Linked DNA regions of Sus scrofa. The protein of the gene in region 1 interacts with the protein of each later gene in a pairwise test. Links are inferred from orthologs where the notes say so. Each region holds a gene or a part of one and is shown in the gene's direction. Other genes may lie near its edges. The genes, in order: RFESD and HBQ1.

The links.
Region 2: the proteins of RFESD (region 1) and HBQ1 interact in binary tests that used the Homo sapiens proteins (3 or more experiments, as listed by UniProt). The two-hybrid records come from large-scale screens. The link is inferred for Sus scrofa from reciprocal best matches to the Homo sapiens genes RFESD and HBQ1.

Annotation. Positions count from the first base shown.
Region 1 is NC_010444.4:102,250,245-102,254,066, forward strand, and holds part of RFESD (Rieske domain-containing protein), read left to right. Parts: intron 1-1,153; 5' UTR 1,154-1,154; coding exon 1,155-1,329; intron 1,330-1,442; coding exon 1,443-1,477; intron 1,478-3,747; coding exon 3,748-3,822.
Region 2 is NC_010445.4:41,477,717-41,481,652, reverse strand, and holds HBQ1 (hemoglobin subunit theta-1), read left to right. Parts: upstream 1-1,500; 5' UTR 1,501-1,563; coding exon 1,564-1,658; intron 1,659-1,740; coding exon 1,741-1,945; intron 1,946-2,047; coding exon 2,048-2,176; 3' UTR 2,177-3,371; downstream 3,372-3,936.

The DNA of each region.
Region 1 (3,822 bases):
AGAATAAATATAGAAATTCTTGACAAAACAAGTTATATGCTTTTATTCAGAAAAGTATCATAGAAAATAAAAACTGAAATAGCCCCATATGTGAGGCCCTCAGGAAAACCCTCTACATAAGGCCTAACACCCATGACAATGATGTATCTTGCTGTTTCTTTCTCATATGGAATTAACAGCCTATAACTATGTACTTGAAGTATACAGCAGGTATCTTTGAAAGGGTTACTTTCAAAGAAGCAGGCTGAATATCTGTGCTGAGAAAAAAATATATTTAGAATACCTGCACATTCTCTAAAATTTATATATGTCTATAAATTGACGTCATCTTCTTGAATGCTGAAATAAGACCGAAGAAAGTAATGATGTTTTCTATCTTTGTTAAGAAAATGAAAGATGTCCACTCACACTTACCCCTGCTACTAGAATACAGTTACCTGTTTGATCTGTAAGAACTGGCTGTCCTCAGTAGGTATAACCAAGTGAGCTACCTCAATGAAGAGGTACAAGGCTATTCAGACTATCGAAGTCATCTCTCTTCAACAAAAGCCAAATACAACATTGACAATATACAGATGTTGTTTAGCATTGAATTTGATAGGGAATAAAAGAATAGTGATACTTCAGTATCTAAGGAGTTCTGAAATATCTTATGCAATGAACTGAATCAACTGAGTCCAGCCACCTTAAAGTGGGGGAGTCCACTCTCATTTTGGTAAGCTCAACAGCTCTAACTCAAAATCATGACTAACTATAATCCAGTATGTATGTATGTATTATTTATTTATTTATTTGCCATTTCTTGGGCCGCTCCAGCGGCATATGGGAGGTTACCAGGCTAGGGGTCTAATCGGAGCTGTAGCCACTGGCCTACACCAGAGCCACAGCAACGCAGGATCCAAGCCACGTCTGCGACCTACACCACAGCTCACAGCAACGCCAGATCATTAACCCACTGAGCAAGGGCAGGGATCGAACCCACAACCTCATGGTTCCTAGTTAACCACTGCACCACGACGGGAACTCCCTAGTATTTATTTTATATAGCTACAAAAAACTGCCTCCATTAGACTTCTCTTATGATTATCTCTGTAAGTTGAGTGTAGCCAAACTAGTGAAGACCATTTGTGGATTTTTGTTTTTGTTCAACTAGCATGGATATTGATGCCTCTGAAGAAGATCCTGAAATGAAGAAATCTTCTGCTGTCTGTGTTGGCAGAGAAGAAGACATTAAAAAATCTGAAAGAATGACAGCTATTGTTCATGATAGAGAAGTGGTCATTTTCTACCACAAAGGAGAATATCATGCTATGGATATTCGCTGTTACCGTAAGATTTTATTTTTCATTTGTAAACCTTGTACTTGTTTACTATCCACAAAACTATCAAAATTTGATTTTTTTTTTTTTAGTGATTAGATGTAATATTCAATTCCTTTGCAGACTCAGGAGGACCTTTACATTTGGGAGACATAGAGGTATGCAAACTTAAATCGATTCTCAACAAACTCAGATGTTTCCTATTTATATTCTTACTATATTTACATTCTCTGTTCAAAAATAATTTATATTTGGGTTTGAATTATATTTTAATGCTTTGAATATAACTGCTGATATTCTAGGAATTCATAACCCTACAATGTAAAGAAAACCATTTTACAAATATGAGAAATGGGTATGTCTTCTGATCTAGCAAATACACTGAGATCTACTTTACATATTATTGCCAAATGTTCAAGTGTGTGTGTTTGTGTGTGTGTGTATACACTCATAAATATATACACATATATATGAGATTCATTGTAGCAATATTTTTTAAATTTAATTTTTATAGCCACACCCATGACACATGGAAGTTCCTGGGCTAGGAACTTCCACAACTATAGGCCTATGCCACAGCCAGAGCGACCTGCGATCTGAGCCACATCTGTGACCTCTGCCACAGCTTGCGCCATGCTGGATCCTTAATGCACTCTGAGGCTAGGGATCGAACTTGCATCCTCATGGACACTGTGTTGGGTTCTTAACCCGCTGAGCCACAACGGGAACTCCATTGTTACATTATTTATTGTAATGAAAAACTGAAGGCAAGCTATGTTTTAACAATAGGAAACAGTTTAAATTATGAATATCTATGCTATGGAATACTATATAGCCATTAAATTAATGAGGCAGACCTATATGTGTTGGTATGGGATGGTAACAATATATTTTTGGGTGAAAAAAGCAAGTTGTAGAATTATAGGTCTAATGAGATCTCTTTTTTAAAATAAAAATATTCACTTTTCATTTCATATACTTCCCCATGGTTTGATTTTTGCAGTGCACATATATTACTTCTTTAAGTAATAAAATATAAATGAATATATTTTAAGAAAGAAATAGCACTTTGAAGGCTTAACTGAGGAAGGAATGGGGGAACTGTCTTACTTCCTTGCATTCCCAAACTAGCTGCCTAATTTCCTATTTTCAACTTCATGAAACTGATCTCTCTCTGCAACCACCCCCCATCTCTCTGACTGGTATACAGTACATGCTTATACTTATCATTCCACTTTCTATATTTCATATCAACCTAGTTCCACACCTGCCCTAATGTGAAAAGATGTGTTTAAATTATGAATATGAATTTATGAACTGTGAAAATGTTGATTGATGACAGTTCTGTGCAGGTACAGAACAGCATTTCTGCATTTCTGGTGTAGAGATAAAATATAAGCACCTGAATGATAATGTAGCAGAATTTCCCTCAGTTTCAGACCATGACGAAAGCTATAAAGCCTTGCTACTCAAAGTACGGTCCATAGACCAGCAACACTGGTAACACCTGGGAGTGTCCTAGAACTGCAGAATCTTGTACCCTGCTCTAGGCTTATCGAACAAGAGTTACATTTAAACAAGGTTCAAGTGGTTGTCATGCTGTTTACAATTTTAGGAACACTGCTTTAAGACCATTTAAAAGTTGGGAATTAACCACTTTGGACCATAAATTGGTCTTCAGTTAACATATGCATTTATGCCTTTAGTAACCTCTATTGAAATTATATATGAAAGCTTACTATTCTTCCATCAGCCAGTGAAAACTCATTTAGAAGCACTTGTAGCCCTTGCCCCCTTTCTGTCAAGGAAGTGACAGTAATATCTAACAGATAACAACACAGCTTGCAGTCCACATGGTATAGTTGCCTGAGCTACTTATCTTGTGATAGAGCTTTAACACACAGGGTCTCTCATCAACTGCAGAAGGGACTTGATGACTACTAAGATTAGGTTCTGCCTTATACTAAATAATTTATAAATGAGAGGAAAAGAGAGAAGTCTGGGGGGGCGTTATGTTTGTGCTTTTTGCAGTTGTTTTGTGTGTGTGTGTGTGTATGTGTGTTTTGTTTTATTTTCTTTTTAGGACTGTGCCTGTAGCATATGGAAGTTCCCAGGTTAGGGGTAGATTCAGAGCTGCAGCTGCCAACCTATGCCACAGCCACAGCAATGCAGGATCAGAGCTGCATTTGAGACCTACACCAGAGCTCACGGCAATGCCGGATCCTTAATCCACTGAGCAAGGTCAGGGATTGAACCTGCGTCCTCCTGGATACTATTTGGGTTCGTTAGCACTGAGCCACAACAGGAACTCCTGAGAGAAGCCTGTTTTTCAACCTGGTTCTACTTGCAGTAGTTTCTGTCCTGAGTCTGAGGTTTATTGTGAACACTGAAAAAGTCATATTATTAAATCAATTATTTGTTTCCCCAGGAATTTGATGGACGACCATGTATAGTTTGCCCCTGGCATAAATACAAAATTACTCTGGCAACAGGAGAAGGACTG
Region 2 (3,936 bases), on another chromosome or scaffold:
GCGAGCAGTGTCCTTTCTTCCCTGGGCCCAAGTGTCATCCTCAGAAAGTTCGATGGCAGGTTTCCTGCCTCGGTGTGTGAGCACAGCATGGCCTCTCCACAAGGGGCAATCTTCCTTATTTCATTATTAGGAAAAACGAGGGCCTGGGCTAAAAGTGAACACCACCAAAATGCCCATCCACAGACAAGCAGACAAACAAAACATGATCTATCCGTGCCATGGAATGCTATCCAGCCATAAAAAGCAATGAAATACCAATACATGCTGGCATGTGGTTAAGCCTCCAAGATGTGCTAAGTGAAAGAAGCCAGACACAAGACCACATTCGGCACAATTCTATTCATGCGAAACATCCAGAATGGGCAAATCCGCGGAGACAGAGAGCCGAGCTGGAAGCAGGGGTTACAGGTAACTGCTCGGGGGTTCAGAGTTTCCATTTGGATGATGAAAACGTTCTGGAACTAGCTAGCACTAATGGCTGCCTGACACCCGTGAACGAGATTAGAGATGCTGAGTTGTGCACCTGAAAATGGCGAAGGGTAAATTTGATGCTGTATGAATTTCAACACAGTTTTTAAAAGAAAGGGGTATAGTGATTCCTGGCACAGAATGGGTGCTGTGGCATTCCCGCTGTGGCTCAACAGGATCCTCAGCATCTTGGGAGGGCTGGGGCACAGGTTCGATTCCTGGCTCGGCACAGTGGGTTTAGTAAGGATCTGACGTTGAGGCAATTACAGCTTAGGTTCCAACTGCTCGGATCTGATCCCTGGCCCAGGAACTCCATATGCCATGGGGCTGCCAAAAAAAGGAAAATAAACGATAAAAGTAGTTAAAAAAAAAAAAAGAAAAGAAAAGGAGTTCCCATCTTAGCGCATCAGAAATGAATCTGACAAGGAACCATGAGGTTGCGGGTTCAATCCCTGGCCTCGCTCAGTGAATTAAGGATCCGGTGTTGCTGCGGCTGTGGTGTAGGCCAGCAGCTATAGCTCCGATGAGACCCCTAGCCTGGGAACCTCCATATGCTGCGGGAGCAGCCCTAAAAAGAAAAAAAGACAAAAACAAAAACAAAAAAACAACAGTGCTGCATCGGTATTAGCTATTATTTGGGGACAGACTCCAGGCACTCAATAAATGCTCATTGTCCGGAAAGGGGCTTCTTCTATGAATCCCGCACAGCCTTGGGAAGAAGAAATTGCTGCCTTCACCACACCCAGTGAATGAGAAAACAGACTCAGAAAGGGGTCACAGCAGACGGGCAGGGGAGGCAGACGTTCAAAGACAAAACCCGTGCTAGAACTCAGAGCTGCCAATGAACAATGATGCGTACTAAACATTAGCTTCCATACAGGAAACACTTCAAAGATCGGGGCCTCGGGGAAGGAAGGCCTCAGGTCCCAGCGGACACCCGACGGCGCGCTCCCGAGCCCCTCCGAGTCGAGCCGAGCCCGATTCTGCGAAGCCCCGCGCGACGCCCCCCGGAGGCCGCGGAGACCGCCCGCCGATTGGCGCAGGCGCAGCTGCGGCTCCACCGGCGGGCCGAGCGCGCGTCGCGCGGGCTCCACCATGGTGCTGGCGGCGGCCGACCGGGCTGCGGTGCGCGCCCTGTGGAAGAAGCTGGATGGCAACGTCGGCGTCTACACGACCGAGGCCCTGGAGAGGTGCGCACGGCCCCCGCCTCCCGGCACAGCTGCCTTCGGCCCCCGGCCCCAGGCTGCGCCTCACCCGCCGCTGCCTCCGCAGGACCTTCGCGGCCTTCCCTTCCACCAAAATCTACTTCCTCCACCTGGACTTGAACCCCGGCTCCGCCCAGGTCAAGGCGCACGGCCGGAAGGTGGCCGACGCGCTGACTGTCGCCGTGGACCGCCTGGACGACCTGCCCCGCGCCCTGTCGGCTCTGCGGGAGCTGCACACGCAGCGACTGCGCGTGGACCCCGTCAACTTCAAGGTGAGCGCGCGGCCGGGCCCGAGGCCGGTCGGGGGGTGGGCGGAAGGGCCGCCGTCGGGTAAGGGGCGCCGCACCCGCGCGGGAACGCCTCCCTCTCCGCAGCTGCTGGGCCACTGCCTGCTGGTGACCCTCGCCCGGCACTACCCCGGAGACTTCAGCCCCGGCCTGCAGGCCTCGCTGGACAAGTTTCTGAGCCACGTGACCTCAGCGCTGGCCCCCCACTGTCGCTAAATCGGGGCGGGGGGGCGTGCGGGGGCTCCAGGGTTGGAGTAAAGTCTGTGGTCAAAGCCTCAGGTGTGCGCATGTTCTCTCCACCCCCCGTTGTCAGCTCCCGGCGCGGACGCCCCCACCCCCGGCCCGCTCACACCCCTCGCCGCCGCCCAGTTCCCCGCGGTAAACCCCGACTCACCGGGCCCCTCGCCAGGGCCACGCGGAGGCGCAGACCCGGGGCTCCGGTCGCTCGGGAAGGGGTGGCGGGTAGGGGTCAAGGGCTTGCCCGCGGCTGGACCTCTCGCGGGCGCGGCGTGCACGCCTCAGGTCCACCCAGACCCGAGCGCGGGTCCAGCTCACAGGCTGGGCGAGAAGCGGGGACCAGCGCCCCCGCCGGCGAGGACCGGAACTGCCCAGGGCGGCAACACGCACGACCCCACACAGCGCCTCTGGACCCTGCACCCGCCACGTCAACACTGCTGCGGACTTGGGGAAAGGCCGCTCTGCCAGATTGGATCTGCTGAAAGGAGGCGGCTCCTGCTCCAGCACAAAGCCATGCGGCCCACAAGGTGGATGAGGGAGTCAGCCCAGAGCCCCTCCCGCCCACGTGCCACATTCTTCTCAGGAGTCAGACCTCAGAGCTCCTCAAAAAAAATCAATCATGGCCATCGCAGAAACCTCTGAAAACGATTCCACTCGCTGCACCTGCCTGTGTATCTAGCGAGTCTGGCCCAGCCTCTTCCTCCCTGCCCAACAGTGGGGAAACAGATGCAGGGCGTGGGGGTGCCCTCAGGGGGCGCAGGTGCAACAGCTGACCCCCACCACCCCTGGGGGTATGTCCCAAGACCCCGGTGGATGCCCCAGAAAGCACCAAACCCCCAATATAGTTTTTTGCTATACATACACACCTATGGTAAATTTAATGTATAAATTAGGATGGCAAGAGAAGAACAGCAATAACTAATGATAAAACAGAACCACCAGGAGTTCCCGTCGTGGCACAGCAGAAAACGAATCTGACTAGGAACCACGAGGTTGCGGGTTCGATCCCTGGCCTCACTCAGTGGGTTAAGGATCTGACATTGCCAGGCGCTGTGGTGTAGGTCGCAGACGCCATTCAGATCTGATGTGGCTGTGGCTGTGGTGGAGGCCAGCAGCTACAGCTTCAATTCCACCCCTAGCCTGGGAACCTCCATATGCCGCGGGTGCAGCCCTAGAAAAGAAAAAATAATAATAATAAAAATAAATAAATAAAAGGGCTAGTGTAAAGTGAAGTGACCAAAGGTGACTCTTCCCCATAAACCTGGAGCCCTAAAAAGGTACCCCCTGGACAATTCTCTCCTTTCCTCAGACACAGGGACGCAGAAAACAAAAAACCCAAAAAGCAAAAACAAACAAAAATTTTGGCCACACCCACAGCATGTGGAAGTTCCTGGGCTGGGGATCGAACCCGAGCCACTACAGTGAAAAAGCCAGATCCTTAAATCCCTGTGCCCCAAGGGAACTTCCCCCCAAAATCTTAATGTTCAGCAGAAAAGGGAAGGTAATTCCCTGATAAATTGAAATCACATGTGACATGTGTGGCTTTGTAATCCTGTCACCAGAGGGGTCCTCCTGACAAAACCTCCCAGGCTGCAGACCGTGTGTGAAAATGACCCTGGACTCCCTCACAGACCCCAGGGACCTTCAAGAAGCAAAGAAACCCTCCCTAGAAAGAGGTCTGTCATTACAAACTACACACTCACCAGGCACACAGGGCAACAAGGCACCGTGAACGGAAG